5 linked regions of the Mus musculus genome follow. The protein of the gene in region 4 binds, or shares a complex with, the protein of the main gene of each other region. Links are inferred from orthologs where the notes say so. Each region holds a gene or a part of one and is shown on either strand. Other genes may lie near its edges. The genes, in order: Gigyf2, Gigyf1, Tars, Eif4e2 and Eif4ebp1.

Region 1 (4,003 bases), about 110 kb from region 4:
TTTAATGCTCTTTTATACAGTCTCTCTTTGAAAGGGAATCAAGACTCAGGAAGGGAGGCAGAGGAGGAAGTTGGTATATATATATATATATATATATATATATGTATGTATGTATGTGTGTGTGTGTGTGTGTATTTTTTTTCCAAGTGTTGAATCCAGGGCTCCCAAACGACTAGGTTGGGAGTCTGCCACTGTGTTCTGAAACTTAAGTTTATGTTGATGGGAAGACCTATGATAAATGCTGGAGGATATTTTGCAGTGATTGTGTGAAACTGAGTGGATCCCAAACACCAAAGGTAGTAGAAAGGCAGGAAAAGACTAATGGTCCCAGAAAGACCCGGGTGACTTGAAATGGTAGATGTACCAGGTTTAGCAAATCAAAGTATATAGTATGTCCAGCTAAACATGAGTTTCAGAAAGACAGCAGATTAATTTCCTGTATTCTGTATTGCCGGGTTTACTATTCGTTATCTCGCAACCCTAAAATGGGAAGGCAGTATATATAAGGGGGTTGTAGGTCCACATGTAGTGGAAGGGTGTAGTAACTTTTTTTTAGTTTTTCGAGACACGGTTTCTCTGTATAGCCCTGGCTGTCCTGGAACTCTGTAGATCAGGCTGACCTTGAACTCAGAAATCGATCTGCCTCTGCCTCCCAAGTGCTGGGATTAAAGGTGTGAGCCACCACTGCCTGGCTAGGTGTAGGAACTTTTAAAACCTTCCCAGCTGTCACATTCCAGTACTCCAGGATGAATTTCCAGTTCTATAAGAAAGGAAACTGCTTTGAATTTCAGCTTTACCATTTGCCCCATGATGGACCAACTGGCAGGAAAATGCTAGACCAAATGCTGTGGAAAAGTTCTAGCTTGGAAAACCAGCTCATAAATGATGTGGAGATTTTTGTACTGCAACCGGGCACTGGATTGGGTGCATCGGACGGTGAGTCATAGGGCCTCTGGCCAGGCTCCAATTAGGGACACCAGTTCAACTCTAGGGCCATAGGAGATGCAGCCAAAGGCCCCACTGTGCGCCTGCGCTACTCAGGCTCCGTCCTCGCCCGGCCCTGCATCCGGGTCTCAGGGAGGGGCGTGTCCGAGGGGAGGGGCAGGCCGTCGAGGAAGGGAACGATGTCGTGGGAAGCTGGAGAGCAGGGAGGGAGTGAGGCGGGGATGTAGGCGGGGCGGGGGGCGGCGCGGCGCGCGGGGTCACGTGACGTGCGTGGCGACGTGTCGGCCATCTTGTGTTGTTGAGGCTGAGGATTGACTTGGGTTCTGAGAGACTCCTGTCCCGGACCGCAGGTAACCAGTGGCTCGGTGTGTGTCTCCCCTGCCCGCGGCCATCCCGCGCCCAGTCCCCGCCATAGCGCCCCGAGCTGCCGTGGCCCGGCGCCCACCGTCGCGTCCCCGCCGCTCCGGCCCGAGCCGGCCGCATGGACACACTCAGGCTGCCCGGCAGCGGCCACGGCCGCTGCCGGCTGGGGGCGTCAGACCTGGGGACAGGGCAGGTGCGAGGTCAGCAGGAGCCTCCTCCCGTGCGAGGGTCCCGGCAGTCCAGGGAGCGTCCCGGCCGAGGGCAGCCCCCTGCTTTCGCCCCCGTGGCATCGCGGGGGAAGCCGAGGAGAGGAGGCGGGAGGCGGGGTGGGCAGTGTCAGGCCGGAGGGTTCGCCTTCCGCTGCCCGCTCCTCGGGGCTGGTCGCCCGCACAGCCTCGGGGTACCCCGGCTAACAGCTGCTGCGAGCCGACAGCTGCTCCTGCCGGCGCTCCTGCCCGCACCTGCCCCAGGGAGGTGCGCCCTTGCCTTCTCCACCGAGCATCTGGACTGGGGAAGACTGCTTCTAGGGCTGGAGGACTGGTCTTGAGCAGGCCCCAGGCAAGGTGGAGTCATGATCTGATCCTGGGACTGAGAGGCTTGGGAAAGTAGAGCCCCGGGCAGCCCCGGGGACCCGAATGTTCATACCGGCTTGAAATGGGCAAGCAGTTTCCCACGAAGCACTCTTGAACACTTTGGTTTTGTAGCTGAAATATAAATCAAGCCAGCAAGTAAGGAAGGGTGTGAAAGGAGCTGATTGTGTGACCGCGTTTGGGAAGCAGTAACGTTGCTTTGCATTTATCTAGTACGGTCTCCCCTCACCTCCAGTTTTCTCGAAAGTCAAAGCACTTAAACACACCTAGTGGTTCTATTAGGAAGGTAAGTATTCCAACATAACTTAAGAAATGAAGGGACTCAATCAGTGATGGCTTCCCACCTAGTCCCATCTACCTTGAATTATAGGTAATTATGTTTCAGAGTGTTGTATACAGGGATTGTAGTCTTCCTTATGTAGTTACTCCTCTTTAGTAACAAATGACTTCCTAAATTACAAAAACTATTATCCTACTTTTTGTACATGAGTTTTCATCCTTTTTTGTGGCTCTGACTGGCAGAATTTTTCCTTTTGGTTAGAACATATACTTTGTCTTCATTTAATGATATTTCCCTAATGTAGCAGCTTTTAGATTGCCTAGACTGGGATATGTACTTCACTGTCACATAAGAAGACACTAGGAAAACATTTAGAAGTGACATATGTCTGGAAAAATACCAACGTTGAAGATGTTGGTGATTTGCTAGAAAGAAAAAGACCATACCTTTTTTGGTACTTGACAAAGGATTTAGAGTTTTGTGGCTGGGGAAGAAGAGATTATGTACTGTATGCTGCCATTCTTGTCTTTTCCTTTCTTTTCTGTTTGACTACAAGTACTACAGTATGTAGTGTGAATGCTGAGGGACAAACATTTCTGTTTGTGTTGCGCTCACTTCTGGACATCTAAATACTTAAGTAAAAATATACAAATACTTCTTGATGTGATGATTGGGCTGTGTCCCTTAAATTGATTGAAAGTTGAAGTATGTAAGCTGAAATTGCATTTAAAGCTATCAGTCTGCTGCCCATTAATAACAGCAAAGCCTCCTATAGAATCTTGATCATCTCCCGCTTGTATGGTTAGATTTTATGTGATTTTGTGACTCTCTGGTCCTAGCCAGCAATGCCAGGGAGTATTGTACTACATACATATTGTTAACTCAGGAAGAAATCATAATTAGAAATATGAAGAATGATTTCTACTGAGTCCATATTGTTTTTACCTCATAGTAGAGTGCAAACTCTTGTTAAGTTGAACATTTCTGTGTAGGGACCATCTGTTTATGTAGGAGTAACGGGAAAAAGAAAAAGAAGAGAGATAGGGGGACTGGATAACAATTGTGGGAAGGGTTAATTTTTAAATTTAGTCCTGTGAGGAGACTTTACAGGTAAGCTAAAATTTGAGGAAACACCTGATAGGTAGAGGGCAGGGTCCTTCACCAAGAGGAAAAGAGGGCAAAGATCCTGAGATGAGAAGATAAAACTTAGGTGGGACCTATCTAAGGCTTGCTAGGAAGAGGACTGAGGCTAACTAGTCTGGGGAGACTGAAAGAAACTGATCAGATGTATTTACCCACCTCTTTGGCAGGAAGATGAGGTGGACCATTCACTGCTCTGGAGTCTTTTTTTTTTTTTGGGTGGGATGGGGTGGGGTGTTTCCAAGACAGGGTTTCTCTGTGTAGTCCTGGCTGTCCTGGAACTCACTCTGTAGACCAGGCTGGCCTTGAACTCAGAAATCTGCCTGCCTCTGCCTCCCAAGTGCTGGGATCAAAGGCGTGCACTACCATGCCCAGCTGGAGTGTGTGTGCGAGCAATCCAGGCTGACCTGAAATTGCCCTTCTCTTACCTCAGTCTCCCCAGTTTCTGAGATCTATGGAAAAGTCTTAAGAAAATCAGGTTTTATAGACTTGAGCCAAGATCCCTCCTTTCCCGTTCATTTGGAAAACTCGGGATGTTCATCTATTTCAGGAATTATAATGGATTTCTTAAAAGTAAGTTTTTAGATGTGATTGGTGTTAGACTGCCTGGAAATGCTTTTTAAAAGGAATGGCTTTTTGTTTTGTTGGTTTTGTTTTTTTGTTTTTGATTTTTCCAGACAGGGCT
Region 2 (4,039 bases), on a different chromosome or scaffold from region 4:
GTTCTCCTATGGAAACACGGAAAGGACAGGAGATCCGCCATTAAGTTTGTAAGCCTAGCTTGGCACAGACAAAGAACAGAGATCCTACCATATACAAGGTGAAAGGCAAGGACACTTGTCCTCTGACCTGCCCACATACACAGGAAAAGACAACTGCAGGGGGTGGTATCTGAGGCAGTGCAAGTCAACACGTGTGACCTTGGGTAGTGAGTCTATCCTTCTGACTCTGGTCAAGCCCTAACCAAGCACGAGCACAGACATAGAGAACCACGCAGTCCACACTAAGCACGCTGGCCCTGGTCCTGCGCTGAGAGAGGGGAGGACCTACATGTGGTGAGGGGCTGTGTGCTCACACCTAACAAAGATTTCTCTGCACACCTGCCTGGGCCCGCCCCGGCCCGCCACCCACCCCAGCACACGTGCTGCAGGCTAGAGGACAACCTGGTGGAAATGGTTCTTCTCCCCTCTCTCCTGTGGGTTCCAGGGATTGAACTCACAGCATGATGCTTGGTGGCAAGCCTTTCACGTGCCAAACCGTCTCACCACTCCCGCCTGAACGTTTCTAAGCGGCCTGACCTGACACATGGGCGGCCAGTCAGCAGCCAGCTTAGCAACACATCTCTGCCAACTTGCCCCAGCCCGAGCTTCTCAGGCCTTGTCCCTGCACCGCTATGAGGGCTCACCTGCCTCAGGCCTCTCTTCATCCACCCCTTCTGACGGCTCCTCCTCCTCCTCCTCCTCCTCCTCCAGGCCCCGGAAATCAAGCTCCTGCTCCTCAGGGATGGCTTCCTTGGGGCCCTTCTGTGTGGGGAGGGCAGAGTGGACACAGTGGGAGGGCAGCCAGGGGGCAGCTGCCACCACCCCACTGGCCCCTGAGATGAGTACCTTAAGGGGCAGGAAGGCTCCGGAGGCATCGAAAGTGCCCATCTCCTCATCCTCATCCTCCAGGCACCACTCGGGGAGCCCATCCTTGTCATCTTCAAAGCCATCGAGCCCCCGGCATCTCCGGAGGTGAGAGTTGCCGCCCCCAACCCGCCCATCCTCTTCACCACACCCTCCGCGCTCCCCTCGCAAATCAAAATCAAACTTGCGCCTCCGCTCCCCATGCTCCCGCCAGCCAGCAGAGCGGGGACCACCATCTGAAAGAGAAAGTTGGAGAAGGGCAAAAATCCTCTAGTGCCCAGCCAAGCCAAGCCCCACCTTCTCCAGTCCACCAGGCTTCCCCTGGGATCTTCTTGTTCCTCGCGTGCATGGCACCTCTTCCCTAGTATCGCCAGGATATCCTGACCCCACCTAGCCCCCATCTTACCAGGGCTGGTGGAACGCCAGCGATCACCATCTCGCCGGGGTCCCGCCCCAAGTCTCCAGCTGCCATCATCCTCTTGCTCCTCTCGAAGTGAGCGCCAATTCTCACTGTCTGAGCGTGCATGCTCCTTCCTTGGGCCAGCCCCTCCCTCCTCAAAGCCAGACCGTACTGGCACAGGGGAGACAAACAGTAAGCATGGATGAACCTCAAGAGAGCTTACTCCTATTAGCTCCCCCCCCATCCCCCTACCTGGGAACCCCACCTCCACTGCCTCCCGACCATGCTGGCCACCATCATCAACACGCTCATACCTCCATCCCTCCTTGCAGGCTTCTCAAACCGCCTCTCGCCTCTGTGAAGAAAGGCGTCGGTCAAACATCACCCTTCCCCAGGGGGTGCTAGGCTGGGTAGACACGACCCAGGGGCTCTGATCAGGGCTGGCCTGCTGGGTGTCTCTGGTCCCTCTAGTCACCCTATTCCAGCTCAGTGGCACTCCTCCGTTCTGCCCGTCTCTCTCCATCTTGTCATCCCCACCTGTCATCCCAGCTTTGGCTTCGCTGGATCTCCCGAGGATTCCTTCCGAAGGCCCCATCGCCTTCCTCAATGCTTCTTTGGTAAAAGCAGCTGTCACCACGGCCTCGCCCTGAAGAAGAGGGTTTACACTGGGTCTGGGACCCTCCAGTGTCCCTCTGTATCCTTGCCACCACCCACTCCAACTCTGCCCACCTCCTCCCCTAAAAAATACGAGGAGTCGCTGTCTACCTCGGCTCCGAGTGCTGCCCCTGCCACGGGAGGTGGCAGGCAAAGGGGGCCCAGCCCCTTTCCCCATCAGTCTCAGCACAGCCACACTGTTCACCGACAGCGAGAAGTTTCTCTGAGGAGGGAGCCAGGGATGGCAGTGAGGACCGTCACCCAGTCAGCCCCCATCTTCCCAAGCCCAGCCCCTCCCTCCTCCACCCTAGGCCCAGCCCCACCTGCTCCTCCTCAGTCAGAGGCTCCAGAGCCAGAGGTTGCAGCGGTTCCTCTTGTAACACTGCAGCAAACTCCTTGTCCTGTAGTTCCTCCGGGACCTGGGATGGGGCAGGAGGCCCAATATATTAACCACTCAGAGGCAACTCACAGATAAGGCAAATGGGCGAGGGAGCTGTGCTCCATCCCAAACCTCACCTTGTTCTCCTTGACATAGAGGGCCAGCATCTCCTCTCGCCCATAGCGGTAATCTGCCAGCTTGTATTTGGGCATGGCAGGAGATGGGGGTGGAGAGGCCACGCTGCCACCACTCGAAAGGGCTCTCAGCCTAAAACAGGTACAAAAAAAAAGGGGAGACGGAGGTCCACGTGGCCCTTCACCCCTACACCAGCTTTTCCCCTGGACCAGAGCTTAAGTGACCCACCACTCAGGCCCAAAGTTGAGTGTCTCTGCTGCCATTGTGGAGCTTCGATGCTTCTCAAAGGTCAAGGATGAATGGCAGAGACAGGACCAGGAGAGTACTGTCCAAATACCTGTAGGGTCACAGACAAGTCATGAGTAAGCTGGTGCAGGGCAGATCAGTCATGGCGCCAGCACTTTGCTGGGCCAGTGACAGGCCTCCATCTAGACGGTGAGACATTTTGGCATTGAACTCACCTACACCAGACAGGTGACCACTCACACCATGAGTTAACCAAAGCTGAGTCAGGGTAGGGGAGAGTCCTAGGGAGTGAGGGAACACTGAAGCCTGAGCCCCTTCCAGCTCAGTGGGACGCCCTCTGGTGGCCCAACACTCACCTGACAGTTCTGTCCAGGGAAACAAGGGCTCTCTGGTCTCACAGGGGCCGGGCTGCGCTGAACTAGGATCCCCAAGCAACTAGCTCTAGCCTCTAAGTGCCTGGGAGAAACTTTCACATCTGGGAGAGATCCTTAGGGAGAAGAGGAGGAAGAGAGAGGTTACCCCAGTGAATTAGACAGTCTCCCAGCCCCTGGCCCACAGCTGCCGGGTACAGTGCACTCAGGAGAAGGGACAATGTGGTCATTGGTCAGAGGTGCTCTCATGGGATGGCTGAGGTAACCAGTGTGCCCAGAATACAGTGAGGATTTTCAGCACAAAACTTAAGCCTGCTTTGTAATGCCCATGTTTGTAATCCCAGCACTCAGGAGACAAAGGCAAGAGGACTGCAAGTTCCTGGGACAACCTGGGACAGCACACAGTAAGACTATTCTGAAACAATCACTGGACTGGGGATATAGTTTGGCTGGGGGTGGGGGGGCACTTATTCACCATACTTGAAGCCCTAGACTCTGCCCCCAACACCACACCAACAAGGAATATAGCACCCGGCTTTGATCCCAAACACTTGGGAGATAGAGAGAGGCAGGAGGTTCAGAAATTTAAGGTCACTTCTGGCTACATAAGAGTTTAGGGCCAGCCTGGGCTATATGAGACCCTGTCTCAAAAAATAAGACAGGCAGGCATTGGGGCCGCTTATGTTCTATAGAGGAATGGTCCATTTTATAAAGCAGTATGACAAGCCTTGGAACAAGCCAACTTCTCTAAAGAAAACTTAGGGCATCTGTCTGAGGGGGCTGGGTTTCAGCACAAACTAAGCAGACAGGACTTCCAGAGCCACAGGTACTCACTCCACTCACGGTAGGCTCTGAGCAGGTGGGTGTGGCCACAGGAATAGGAACCAAGACCTAAACTCCTACCCTACATCAACAACTGCCCCTCAGAAAAAAGGTCAAGGTGGGAGCAGG
Region 3 (3,258 bases), on a different chromosome or scaffold from region 4:
CCATGCCCAGCCTTCTTTACTGACTGCCTGTTAAGCATGTGTGATTCTTTAACATGAAGCAATCATAGAGCAGAACTAATTGTTCTGGTCTTTAAGGTGTGAAGTTCACCCTGATGTTTACACAACTGCTAGAAGGGCAAGACACTGGCCAGCCATGACAGCAAGATGGAAAAAGTTTAAGCCACTGAAGAAATTTACATTAACAAATGAACAAATCAGCAAATATCAGGCACTTCAGTGGGATGTGTAATTCTAATACAGTTTAGGCTATGCGTCCTAATTAATTTCTTTATAACACCAAATGTTAAGATAGACAAGTATATTTGAAACACTAAGCAAATACATGGGTCACAGAACCACAAAGACAAAGCTCTAAAGATGTAACACTCAGGCCTATCGGACATAGACGCTACAGTCTTTGAAGCAGTGAGCCCGCAATTTGACAAGGAGACATGGCTCGCCAATTCAACATCTTAGAAGCATAGTTACAAGGATGGGTGTGTGGCACACACTGGCAATACCACCTATTCAGGGACTAGGACAAGAAGCTCAGTCCAAGGCCATTGTTGACTATATGATAAGATTCCCACTGCAAAAAGCTTAAGAACAGATTCAAACGGTCAGAAAAATCCGACTTAAGGATTACCTTTTGGGCATATTCATCACATGTCGGTCCCACTGGGACCACCATCACCTGGCGAGGAGAGAGCCAGAAAGGCCTAGGGAGGAAAAACAACAGCGAGCGTGTTAGACGTGACCGATTAGAATCACCTCCCTCCCGACTTCCTACGTGTAGTTTAGAAGGAGACGTTTCTTCTGGATTTAACTGGATGAGAAAACCAACAGAAGACCCTTACCATTTGCCCCCATAGTTTTCTGTGAGGATGGCAATCATTCTTTCCACCGACCCCAGGATGGCTCTGTGAACAATCACTGGCCTTTTCTTATCATCGCCATCGTGGCTATGGAAGAAAAGGGATTTGTTTTATCATATGTATATATGTATGTATATGTGTATGTATATGCAGAGCCTGCAGAGGGCTCAGGGCAGATACCAGCAGCTCACCTGACGTAAGTAAGGTTAAACCTGATGGGCAACTGAAAGTCCAGCTGGATGGTTGCACACTGGTGGTAGCGACCGATGGCATCTTTTATCTGTATGTCAATCTGCAAAGCAAGCACTGGGTTATGATCAGCTCTTCTTACCTTTCTTTTATTTTCTTCTTCCCAACTCCAAGTAATGTTTCTTACGCACAACTAGAACTCGCATTACCCGAGTATTCTCGGCTACTGACCTTTGGCCCATAGAAGGCTCCATCTCCAGGATTTAGTTCCCACTTCTCACCGAACTCATTCAAACTGTTTTCAAGTTGCTACAGATAAAGCGGAAAGGATGTGAGCTGTCGTTCAGCTGCAATGCCCCCTCTTCCCACCTGATTCGGAATAAAGCCCCTGGGTGTTTCACGCCATCCTCCTAATCAAAGCGTGCTTGAAAGCTACAGCTCAGGAGCTGACAGAGTCCGAAAGCATTGGGTCCACTCTGAAGGACAGGAAGACCTTACAGAAAACATTCCCTCACTCGACACCAGAAACTGCCATTTTTCTTTGCCCCATCTATCTAAGAAGACTTCCTAGCACTGTGTAAGTTCTCAAACACACCAAAACCAGCACTCACTTTCTCAGCTTGGTTCCATATTTCAATATCTCCAAGGAATTTTTCTGGGCGAGTAGAAAGATTCAATTTAAATGAAAATCCAAAGACACTATATACTGTGCGAAGAAAATCCAAACAACCTTTGATTTCATCTTCAATCTTAAGGAAGAAAGAGAAACGGTTATCTCCCTTCACCTGTAACCCTTCTGTCAGAGCACTGCTCCACAGGGCAGTATACCTGCTCCATGGCACAGAAGATGTGTGCGTCATCCTGCTGGAATCTTCGGACCCGTGTGAGCCCGGTGAGAGCCCCCGAGAGCTCATTCCTATGCAGCACACCAAAGTCAGCTAGCCGCAGGGGCAGCTCTCGCCAGGACCGTGGCCGGTGATCGAACATCAGGCTGAAGGAGAAAGCAAGGCAAAGCCCTAAGGTCAGGGTGAAGGATGCAGCCCGTAGCAGAGTGCTTGCCTAGCACCTGAGAGAGAGGCCTTTCAGAGACTCACGGGTGACAATACAATTAGCCATTTTGATTGTTCACAAGAACACAATTCCTCAAATATTACATGTAACAGCTTGAAAGGCTGTCAGAAAGCCCCTGATCTTAGTCAGTCACAAGCAACATCTTTCAAGCCCCAGGCCTCACAGAGCAATAGAAGCACTTGCCTGAGTTACAGAGCAACCAACTGTGGCTAAGAGAGGATAAAGCAAATGTACCGCTGAGGTCTAAGGCAGGCCCTGTACGTAGCTTTCCATTCATACGAAGACTATGGTCAGTTACTAGGAAGACTTGATGAAGAAATAGTTTTAGCTGCACACACATTACTTCTAACACTGAAAACTAATATCAGGCTTGCTCTAGTTGGGCCCGGGTGCCTCAGAAACTTAATGCTGTGAGAACTAAGTGAAGGGCTCTGCTTCCCTGGTGTGTACAAGTCAGATTCTTAAAGGCACTTCTCTTAGCAGCTCGGCCGGAATGACCTGTCCACAGAGCTGCACACATGAACACACTCATCTACACCCTCGGAGCTCCCTGAAGTCACTTTTCATCCGCCTTTCTCAATCCAAGGCAGAGTTTTCCCTTCTGCTTCATGGCATAGATATTCCACTACTCTACTCTGTTCTCCACAGGATCCACAGACCTCTTCTTAGTCTCCTTTCTACACTGATACTGTATATGTACACACACACACACACACACACACACACACACACACACACACGCCTCTTTCAAAGGGCTAAAGCAATCCAGAATGATTTATAGCACAGGAACATCTTCCCTATCAATGCAGAGCTGCAGGGCTGGAGAGACGGTTCAAAGGTTAAGAGCCTTGCTACTCTTCCAGAGGACCCAGGCTCAGTTGCTAGCACCCACACGGCTGCTGACAACCACCTATAACTCTAGCCACAGCACCCTCATCCCAACTCTGCAGCAACCCAGACATGTAGCATACACTCAACATAAAGACATCCAGGTAAGTTTAGCAAAAAGAAAGAAAAACACAGAGCGCTTGATACCAGTGTCCCGGGCAGTTCATGGGCTTAAGTGCAAACTGCTCCTTCTCCACCTCAAAGGAGAACATGTTCTCGCTGTAGTGCTGCCAGT
Region 4 (3,510 bases):
TGGTGGCACAATCTTTATCCTAGTACTGGGAGGCTGAGACAGAAAACTGTCAGAGATCATCTTCATTATCAGACTGAGTTCCCGGCTAGTCAGGGCTACACAACCAGACTGTGGATTTTTGTTTTTGTTTTTTTTTAAAGTGTATTTCTTTATCACCTTCACAACTGAAAATAATACCATAATTTCAATTATTTGCAACCTTCTGAAGTCTGCTCACACAGTATACTCTTTGCTAGTTAGCTGATTCTAAGTTGCTGTAACACAACTTTCTGCCTTTCTCATAACACGATGGGTATTCATTATCTCAACATATGCCCACTCCAGTACCACCTCCCCAACATCCACTACTAAAGACTGGCATACTAAGGATTTCACTGTGACATTTCCACACATCTCTACCAGGCTTTGACCACACCCAGTGACCCATGTCCTCCTCCTTTTTACCCTCTTGCTCCCTCTCCATACCTTTCCTCTTTCTTCAGTGCTAGGGATTGAACTCAAGGCCTTATACTATATATACCACTCACAGAGTGACATCCTAGTCCCTGATCTTCTTGTGTATGGGTTTGAGAGTGTGCACAAGAGCACAGGGATGAGAAGTCTGTCCAGCCCCCTCAACCTTGTTTTAAGAACAATCAGAGATTCCAAAAGAGGGAATCTGCTATAGAGAGACTCCATGAGATAACCAAGGCTCACTACACCTGTATCATCACCCCAAACATACCTTCCTCTTGCCACTGCTCTGGCTCTTGTCTCGGTCTGTTTTTTCCTTCTCACCATCTTTCTGTGTGCTGTTTTCTTCATTCTGATCATGGTCTCCACTGTCATCATCTTTTAAGCTACATAGGAAAGCAAAATAATGTCATTCCATGACTAAACTATTTGAGTTACCTAACAAAGCCACAAGGTCATAGCCCAAGTCACTTGAATCCCAGGCCTGTGAGGCATATCTGAAAGGCAAAAGGAAAAGCAAACCAGGAATATTAAATAAAAAACTATTAAAAAAAACTATTAAACTAGCTACCCCATGAACTCTAGCGAACAGCTTTCTGTTTTCCAACAGCATAACAAAGCAGTTAAAGAGATGTTTTTTGTTATCAAAGACAAACTCGTAATGAGAATTTCTGGACAAATAATTCCCCTGACATCTGAAAGTTAAACTTGCCCATCTGTATACTGCTCCTTCCCATCTCTCTCCTAGCTGTCCTCACTCCACACCTTAGGCCATTATCCTTCTCCAGTCAAATAGGTCATCATCAGTCTATAAGCAGGTCTGATGTCAGTCTCTCTTCTCCATCCATCCTCTACACTTTCTAGGTGTGAGTCTGTTATTGAACCTGCAACCTTAAGATGCTCCACTGCCAACTTCCTAATTACCTATCCTCTAGAGTAGCACACAACACAAAGTGCTTTTCACAAAAATTTAGAAATTGTGTCTCCTCTCCAACAACTCTTCCCACTGGCAAACACCTCGCTTCTAGCTCAAGGTGCAAATCCTTCCTGCCTGTTTCTTCTTCAAGACATTGAGGTTTCTTTAGAGCAATATCATACTTCATCTCAGTATCACTGACACCCAAAACAAGATGACACAGAATAAAGGCTAAATGAAAACAAAAGGAGGCGTGGATATGTTGTCTCATAAGTAGAGTCAAACATGAAACCACCTATGACCCACCAGATGCAGACAAAAACAAGCATGTTAGTGCACAAAGATAAAAGTGCATTTGCTCAATCTGCTCAGCTTGCTCAGAGGGTAAGGGCTCTTGTGCCCAAGCTTGCAGACTGAGTTCAACCACGGGAACCTACACACTGGAATCTTTAATACCTAATGTATAAAATACACCTATAAATAATAGGATGAATAAGTCATGTGTTGGGGTACCTGCTCTGCCTAACAGGCAGCCATACTGCAAGAGATACTCATGTAGCCATTCCCTGTGATACAGATCTCCCCATCCCCACCCTGGTCAAGACCCAACTAGGTAAGGCATAGGAGCAAAGGGTAGTCTGGTCTGCCTAGTAACCTAGGCCTCAGAACCTTTTTTCAAAATAAAGAATTCTCTCTCTACATTGATTTCATCCAAGAGAGCAAAGACCAAGAATTTAGAAGCTAGGCCAGCTTTAGGGTCCATGAAAGAATCAAGACTCGGAGCAAAAGGAATAGGCAATCCAGAAAGAGAAAGGTGTTGGAACTGATGAGCAAGCAGAGCTGGACACTGCCATCTGTCTGCTGCTCAGAGGTATCACCAGTGCTTAGTAAACTTCCTTTCCCTTGGTTAAACTTGTTTTGCTTGGTTTCCTTTTCAAGTCGAGCCTGCCTTGGACACAAGACCCATGGATTAAAAATTACCAACATTTACCAAGCAGCTCACCGGGTACCAGAGTACCTGTCCTCCAAGAACTGAGGAGAGATAAGGTATACAAAGGCTCAACTAGGTGCAAAGGGCCATTCTGTTAGCATGTCTACAAACATTCCCTGCCTGTTCCCAATGAACCCCTTCCACCCTGCTGTGTCCATTCATTTGAACAAGAATATCTCATGGATTTTTCTACTGCTTCAGTCTCATCTAGGGACACAAGCCCTTTTGTTTTCTCTTCAGCTCCTAATTCCTACTACAGCCTCTAAAGTCACTTTACTAGAGTTTGGTTGAAGAAGGACAGTCACCTAGGACTTCTCATTTTTGCCAGCCCAAGAAAAGTGTTCTATTCCTTTCTTTTCTAGTGGTTTTCTTTTAGACACTACTAGGAAACAAAAAGAAAACAAAAACAGTTAAGGCAGAGAAGAAACAATGCTATTATCATTTTGAAGCCATCTCAGACTCCTTTCTAAGCCAGCAAATAGGAACCTCAATGGACTTCATTTTGTCTTTTTACGCCCTGACCTTTATTTTAGTTTTGGCTGTGCTGGTAATAAAATCCAGCACCTCCTTCACAGAAGGCAAGGACTCTACCAATAAACATTGCTTTCTCTCTCCTGCCCCCCCCTTCCCTTTCTCTCACATCTTATGAAAAGAGGTCTCTCTATGTAGCCATGGCTGTCCTGGAACTCACTATGTATACCAGGCAGGCACTAAACTCAGAGCTTCGTCTACCTGGGATTTTAAGAGTGTGTGCCCCCATACCTAGGCTGCTTTCATCTCCTCTCTGCACATAAGCAGAGACCTAAGCAAAGGCAGGCCTGCTTTTCAGAATCGGTTCTTCCTGGCTTAAAGCAGCAGCACTCTGCAGGCTAACCTATCCAATTCATGTTCAGACTAAGTGACACTTGGGTTAGCTTTCCAAGTTCCTGTCCAGGTAATTCCCAACACCGTCCGAACTAGGCAAATTCTGTGCAGGGAGGAACTTTAATTTTCCACTCTTATCTCTAGCAACACACACGAACATAAAACAAACATGTTTAAGGGATGGATCTCCAAACATCAAATTAGGTAGTTTAGAAACACTTAAAAATAGGCCAAAAGCTAATGACAGAAAGAGAACCATATAAAATAGGAACCAAATCAAGGCTGG
Region 5 (3,994 bases), on a different chromosome or scaffold from region 4:
TCTTCATGTAGAGCTTGCAGCCCCTTACAGGTCAAGTCACATGCCAAGGAGTATAGGAAGCTTAAGTTCAAGAAACCTGACTTTATGCCTGGATATGAGATCTACTTTGCCAGACTCCTAAAGATCTGGAAAGGCAAGGAAAAAAGCCGTGTGTGTGTGTGTGTGTGTGTGTGTGTGTGTGTGTGTATACATATATGTGTATATATGTGTGTGTGTGTGTGTGTGTGTGTATACATATATGTGTATATATGTGTGTGTGTGTGTATACATATATGTGTATATATGTGTGTGTGTGTGTGTATACATATATGTGTATATGTGTGTGTGTGTGTGTGTGTGTGTGTGTGCGTGTATGGGCTTTGTTTGTGTGTTGTTTATCCCTTTCCCTTGTAACTCCTGAGTACTCAAAATGGAATGTGAGCCAATCAAGCATATAATGGTTAGGCAGATGACTCAGTCCTGATTCAAGCTCATGGGCTTTATACGCCCATAGATCCAGAGGACAGAGTAGACCTCAGGGTGATTCACTTGACCTTGAACTCCCAGCTGGCCCCTGATACAAGTAAGAAAATTCAAAAGTTAGATGGATTTGCAGAGAATAGATGAGAGCAAAGAGAAATAGCCCAAAGGGTATTCAACAGCTGTTAACCCCGGAATTACCAACACTCAGTAAGGTGAGGCAGGAGGATCTCTGTGTAGCCCTGGCTCTCCCGTAACTCACCCTGTAGACCTCTGCACTCGGATTCCGTATCTCGTTGGGGTGCTAAGTGATGAGAAACATTCTGGAGCAAATGGGTCAAGCTTCTGCCCTTTAGCAGAGGCGACCTGGAATGAATGGCCTTTGGGAAAAGATCCCACTCCTTAAATTAACTGGCTTTGGCAGAAACAAGCAAGTCTTTCCTCGAGCTATGGACTGTGTGACACACAAACAACAACAACAGCAACAAAAATCTGACAAGGGCCAGCTGGCTTTGGGGACCTGACACTGCTTTCTTTCAGTTAAGAAGCAAATGCTACACTCTAAGGAAACCCCTTCCTCTTCAAAGACAACGGGAACTACCTGGTCTGCCAACGGACACTTCGCAGACCACAGTGAGAAGTGGATCAGAGTGCATTACAAACAGTACTGGCTATTGCTACCCAGCTAACCTGTTCATCCAGAAAGGGACGGGCAAGAGAGAAAATAAACGTTTCCCAGAGCCTTTAGGTCTGTATCGGTGCCTATAAAAAATAAAAATAAAAAATACACCCTGATTCACACCTCGCCTAAAAGGACTCAACTCTCTGTGAAACTTTGTGCTCAACACAAAGTTCTGCGAAAAGACAAAGGGGCAACAGCGTGAACTAAAAAGTGGCCAGCGGGGTTGAAGAACTCCAGTAACGGGAGGCCAGAAGCCTGCAGAAAACTTTTCCTTTGGGCCGTTTCTAATAAGAGGGAGCCGGCTTTCTCCCCCTGCCCTGCTTGCTACTTCTTGCTGAGTGTAGGAACTCAGCATGACGATGCACAACAGACACGTGCTCAAGCAGCGAGGCCTTGGTGCTGTGTCCTGAAGATCACAGAACCCAGTGGACACTGACTGAGCTCCAAGATCCCTTCATCGGTGCCTTGGTTCTGGGATCTGGCTGTGCTCCCTGGTGCAGGGACAGCTGCCCGAGAAAATAGGCATGTGGCCCGGCTGCGCCAGCAGTAGCCCAAGGTTCATCACCGCGCCAGGATTCCTCTTGTTTTTGAGTTGTAAGAGGAGTAGTTGGGGGAGGAGACCGGGGAGGGGAGAAGCGCAAAAGTGGGTGGGAGCGGCGCGAGGATTGGGAGGGAAGTAGTGAGCCACGAGGATTTCATCATGCAAACAGGCGGGTAGGTTTCATCAGCGTCTATACTGGGGCTCCAGGGCAAGCTGGGAATGCCTGGTTCCCGGAGGCCGGCCCCCACCCGCGCCAACTCAGCTTCCTCTTCCTCATCCTCCGCCACTTGGGCCAGTTCAACGCTGTGCCCTGCCCCCCAGGCCCGAGGAACGTGTTGTTCTGCACTACACCAGACGCCGCCCCTGCAGGAATCTCTCTCTTAACACAAGCCACAGGTGGCAGAGAAGCACCCTCAGCGTCCAGCCTCCATTAATGAGCGAGTGTCCAAAGCAAAGAGGGCTGCCTCCGGAAAGGTTAAAAAAAAAAAAAGTGTGCAGGCGTCACTTATTCCAAGGGAGATCAACTAAACTTAATCTCCAGGCCAGCCTCTTTCCCTGATCTTGTCCCACCCCAAACTGCCCTGACACCCACAGAGGTCGCCCTTAAGCACATGGTGGTCCTGGCAGAGTGCCTATCTGTATGCTCAGGGCACTCTGCCGTATCTCCCAGGAAAAGGCTAATAATGCAGGCAGTTTGCAGCCGGGTTCCAGACCACGCTCCACCACACCCAGAAGGCGAGCAACCGAGACGGTGACCCTTCTGCTTTCCCGACGCCCCTCGTCCGTTCTGGCCAGCTACCGAACCCCTCGAATGCCGCCCTCCCCGTCGCACGTGAGACTCCGGATCCCGACGTATCCTCCAGCCCCCCGAGGTCGCCCGTGACCCCGGCCAGCGCCTACCTCCCGGGGTGGTGCTGAAGAGCGTGCCGCCCGGAGTGGTGCTGTAGTCCCCGGGCGGGAGCTGCACGCCATCGCCGAGGGCTACGCGGCGAGTGGGGATGGCCCGGCTGGGAGTCTGGCTGCAGCTGCTGCCCGCCGACATGTCTCCTGCACGCCGCCCACGACCCTCCAGCAACCCCGCGGCACCTCGGCCCAGCCCTTCTCGTGCCCGGCCCGCCCCTTCCGCCTGGGCTCCACGCCCCCTGAGACTTGCGGTCCGCCCGGCCCCACCCAGCCCCAGCCCGCTGCCTGCAAGTGGTTCCCCAGCTGCTGACCTAGGCAGCTTCTGTCCTCTCCAGTGCAGGAACCCCAGTGTGGGCCCCTTGGGTTCCCTGGTTCCTCCCCGAGACTCTGGGAAGATCTAGGTAGGGATGACGGTGGCAGAACTCTCCGATTTGGTGGCAGCGTCTCAGCGCACCAGACCGCCTGCTTTCTATATTAGGATGTGACCTCTCGATCCCAGGCCGATCCTCAGAGAAGAAAGGGTGGGCTGATCCTTCGCCATTCTTAACGTTTCTACAGCTTTTACAGTTTTACAGTTTTTAGGAGTCAGAGCAGCGGCTGCACAGCGCACATTCCTGGACTTGGAAGGAGTAGTGGAAGAGTAAGAGGGACCTAGCCAGCCAGCTAGGAACCGAATATAAATCTGATGAGGAATGGGCAGGATCGAAGCTCTGCGTACTGTGGGCTGGGAGGATTAGAGTTAACCGGTCAAAGATCCGCATAGTACTTGGACTGGGTTCCACTCCAGCACTTTGTCTGGTAGTCACTAGGGAGGGAAGGGAAAATGCATGTCCAATCGGTTACAGTGTCTGTGTCAATCAATCTCCATATGGTAGGAAATGCCTATAATCCCGACCGTGAGGAGGCTGAAGCCCTAGGAGGATCCCAAGTTGACAGCCGAGGGAGGGCCAGAACCCTGTTCTCACTGTTGTCCGGGCTGGCCTGAGAGAACACACTGGGCCACCTTCCTCCCTTTGGGAGAAGCATGTTGAAAGGGGTTTTGCTTTTTGCCTTGTTTGGTTGTTCTAGAGGCCCCAGATTTCCTGGAACTACGATTTCAGGGAAGGGCCTGTTTATAAAGTCCAACATCCAAGTTCAGCATTCAAGTGGTCCACACTTGTCCCAGCAATGAGGAGACTGAAGCAGGAGGATTCTAGCCTGTGCTACCCAGCAAAACCCTGTCTCAGACACAGAAAGAAGAGAGAGAGACTTAAGCTGGGCATGCTAGCTCAGAGAAACTGAGACAGGAGCATTACAGAAAAGCTGAGGGCAGACATGGTTGTGGCGAGTTTGATGCACAGCCTGGGCCAGACATGTTAAGACGCTGTCTTAAACCGTGAAAGAGAGAGAGAAAAAAAAACACGGGGAAG

What was found.
Region 1: the proteins of Eif4e2 (region 4) and Gigyf2 are in contact, whole or in part, in a crystal structure (PDB 5NVM), measured with the Homo sapiens proteins. The link is inferred for Mus musculus from reciprocal best matches to the Homo sapiens genes EIF4E2 and GIGYF2. Residues at the interface, in NP_004837.1 of Homo sapiens: His54, Pro55, Leu56, Gln57, Tyr64, Arg66, Asn81, Lys83, Gln84, Ile85, Gly86, Thr87, Val91, Glu92, Phe94, Trp95, Arg96, Phe97, Ser99, His100, Met101, Val102, Leu107, Phe113, Glu149, Asn150, Leu153, Leu156, Gly157, Glu158; in NP_001096616.1 of Homo sapiens: Leu38, Ala39, Asp40, Tyr41, Arg42, Tyr43, Gly44, Arg45, Met48, Leu49, Leu51, Phe52, Leu53, Asn56, Lys57, Ile58, Pro59, Asp61, Leu62, Asp64, Glu66, Phe67, Pro69, Ile70, Leu71, Gln72.
Region 2: the proteins of Eif4e2 (region 4) and Gigyf1 are in contact, whole or in part, in a crystal structure (PDB 5NVK), measured with the Homo sapiens proteins. The link is inferred for Mus musculus from reciprocal best matches to the Homo sapiens genes EIF4E2 and GIGYF1. Residues at the interface, in NP_004837.1 of Homo sapiens: His54, Pro55, Leu56, Gln57, Tyr64, Lys83, Gln84, Ile85, Gly86, Val91, Glu92, Trp95, Arg96, Phe97, Tyr98, Ser99, His100, Met101, Val102, Arg103, Leu107, Phe113, Ile137, Arg138, Leu139, Arg140, Gly142, Leu143, Ser145, Arg146; in NP_001362694.1 of Homo sapiens: Leu36, Ala37, Asp38, Tyr39, Arg40, Tyr41, Gly42, Arg43, Met46, Leu47, Leu49, Tyr50, Glu53, Asn54, Lys55, Val56, Pro57, Glu59, Leu60, Glu64, Phe65, Ala67, Val68, Leu69, Gln70, Asp71, Glu72, Pro73, Leu74, Gln75.
Region 3: the proteins of Eif4e2 (region 4) and Tars are in contact, whole or in part, in a crystal structure (PDB 5XLN), measured with the Homo sapiens proteins. The link is inferred for Mus musculus from reciprocal best matches to the Homo sapiens genes EIF4E2 and TARS1. Residues at the interface, in NP_004837.1 of Homo sapiens: His54, Pro55, Leu56, Gln57, Val91, Glu92, Phe94, Trp95, Arg96, Glu149, Asn150, Leu153, Leu156, Gly157, Glu158, Gln159, Met161, Val203; in NP_001245366.1 of Homo sapiens: Pro51, Glu52, Tyr53, Ile54, Tyr55, Thr56, Arg57, Met60, Tyr61, Ile63, Leu64, Glu67.
Region 5: the proteins of Eif4e2 (region 4) and Eif4ebp1 are in contact, whole or in part, in a crystal structure (PDB 5NVN), measured with the Homo sapiens proteins. The link is inferred for Mus musculus from reciprocal best matches to the Homo sapiens genes EIF4E2 and EIF4EBP1. Residues at the interface, in NP_004837.1 of Homo sapiens: Glu53, His54, Pro55, Leu56, Gln57, Tyr58, Tyr64, Arg66, Lys83, Gln84, Ile85, Gly86, Val91, Glu92, Gln93, Trp95, Arg96, Phe97, Ser99, His100, Met101, Val102, Leu107, Phe113, Glu149, Asn150, Leu153, Gly157, Glu158, Gln159; in NP_004086.1 of Homo sapiens: Arg51, Ile52, Ile53, Tyr54, Asp55, Arg56, Phe58, Leu59, Met60, Cys62, Arg63, Ser65, Val67, Thr68, Lys69, Thr70, Pro71, Pro72, Asp74, Leu75, Pro76, Ile78, Pro79, Gly80, Val81, Thr82, Ser83.

Annotation. Positions count from the first base shown.
Region 1 is NC_000067.6:87,325,798-87,329,800, forward strand, and holds the start of Gigyf2 (GRB10-interacting GYF protein 2), read left to right. Parts: upstream 1-1,200; 5' UTR 1,201-1,295; exon of another isoform or gene 1,296-1,310; intron 1,311-4,003. UniProt on the Homo sapiens protein: Key component of the 4EHP-GYF2 complex, a multiprotein complex that acts as a repressor of translation initiation. In the 4EHP-GYF2 complex, acts as a factor that bridges EIF4E2 to ZFP36/TTP, linking translation repression with mRNA decay.
Region 2 is NC_000071.6:137,517,647-137,521,685, reverse strand, and holds the start of Gigyf1 (GRB10-interacting GYF protein 1), read right to left. Parts: upstream 2,807-4,039; 5' UTR 2,735-2,806; coding exon 2,700-2,734; intron 2,604-2,699; coding exon 2,474-2,603; intron 2,377-2,473; coding exon 2,281-2,376; intron 2,181-2,280; coding exon 2,069-2,180; intron 1,950-2,068; coding exon 1,841-1,949; intron 1,659-1,840; coding exon 1,618-1,658; intron 1,475-1,617; coding exon 1,310-1,474; intron 1,140-1,309; coding exon 886-1,139; coding exon of another isoform or gene 802-885; coding exon 684-801; intron 1-683. UniProt on the Homo sapiens protein: May act cooperatively with GRB10 to regulate tyrosine kinase receptor signaling. May increase IGF1 receptor phosphorylation under IGF1 stimulation as well as phosphorylation of IRS1 and SHC1.
Region 3 is NC_000081.6:11,386,406-11,389,663, forward strand, and holds part of Tars (threonine--tRNA ligase 1, cytoplasmic), read right to left. Parts: coding exon 3,171-3,258; intron 2,056-3,170; coding exon 1,893-2,055; intron 1,814-1,892; coding exon 1,676-1,813; intron 1,374-1,675; coding exon 1,296-1,373; intron 1,168-1,295; coding exon 1,067-1,167; intron 963-1,066; coding exon 858-962; intron 720-857; coding exon 647-719; intron 1-646. UniProt on the Homo sapiens protein: Catalyzes the attachment of threonine to tRNA(Thr) in a two-step reaction: threonine is first activated by ATP to form Thr-AMP and then transferred to the acceptor end of tRNA(Thr).
Region 4 is NC_000067.6:87,216,910-87,220,419, reverse strand, and holds part of Eif4e2 (eukaryotic translation initiation factor 4E type 2), read right to left. Parts: intron 840-3,510; coding exon 725-839; intron 1-724. UniProt on the Homo sapiens protein: Recognizes and binds the 7-methylguanosine-containing mRNA cap during an early step in the initiation. Acts as a repressor of translation initiation.
Region 5 is NC_000074.6:27,259,139-27,263,132, reverse strand, and holds the start of Eif4ebp1 (eukaryotic translation initiation factor 4E-binding protein 1), read right to left. Parts: upstream 2,807-3,994; 5' UTR 2,725-2,806; coding exon 2,583-2,724; intron 1-2,582. UniProt on the Homo sapiens protein: Repressor of translation initiation that regulates EIF4E activity by preventing its assembly into the eIF4F complex: hypophosphorylated form competes with EIF4G1/EIF4G3 and strongly binds to EIF4E, leading to repress translation.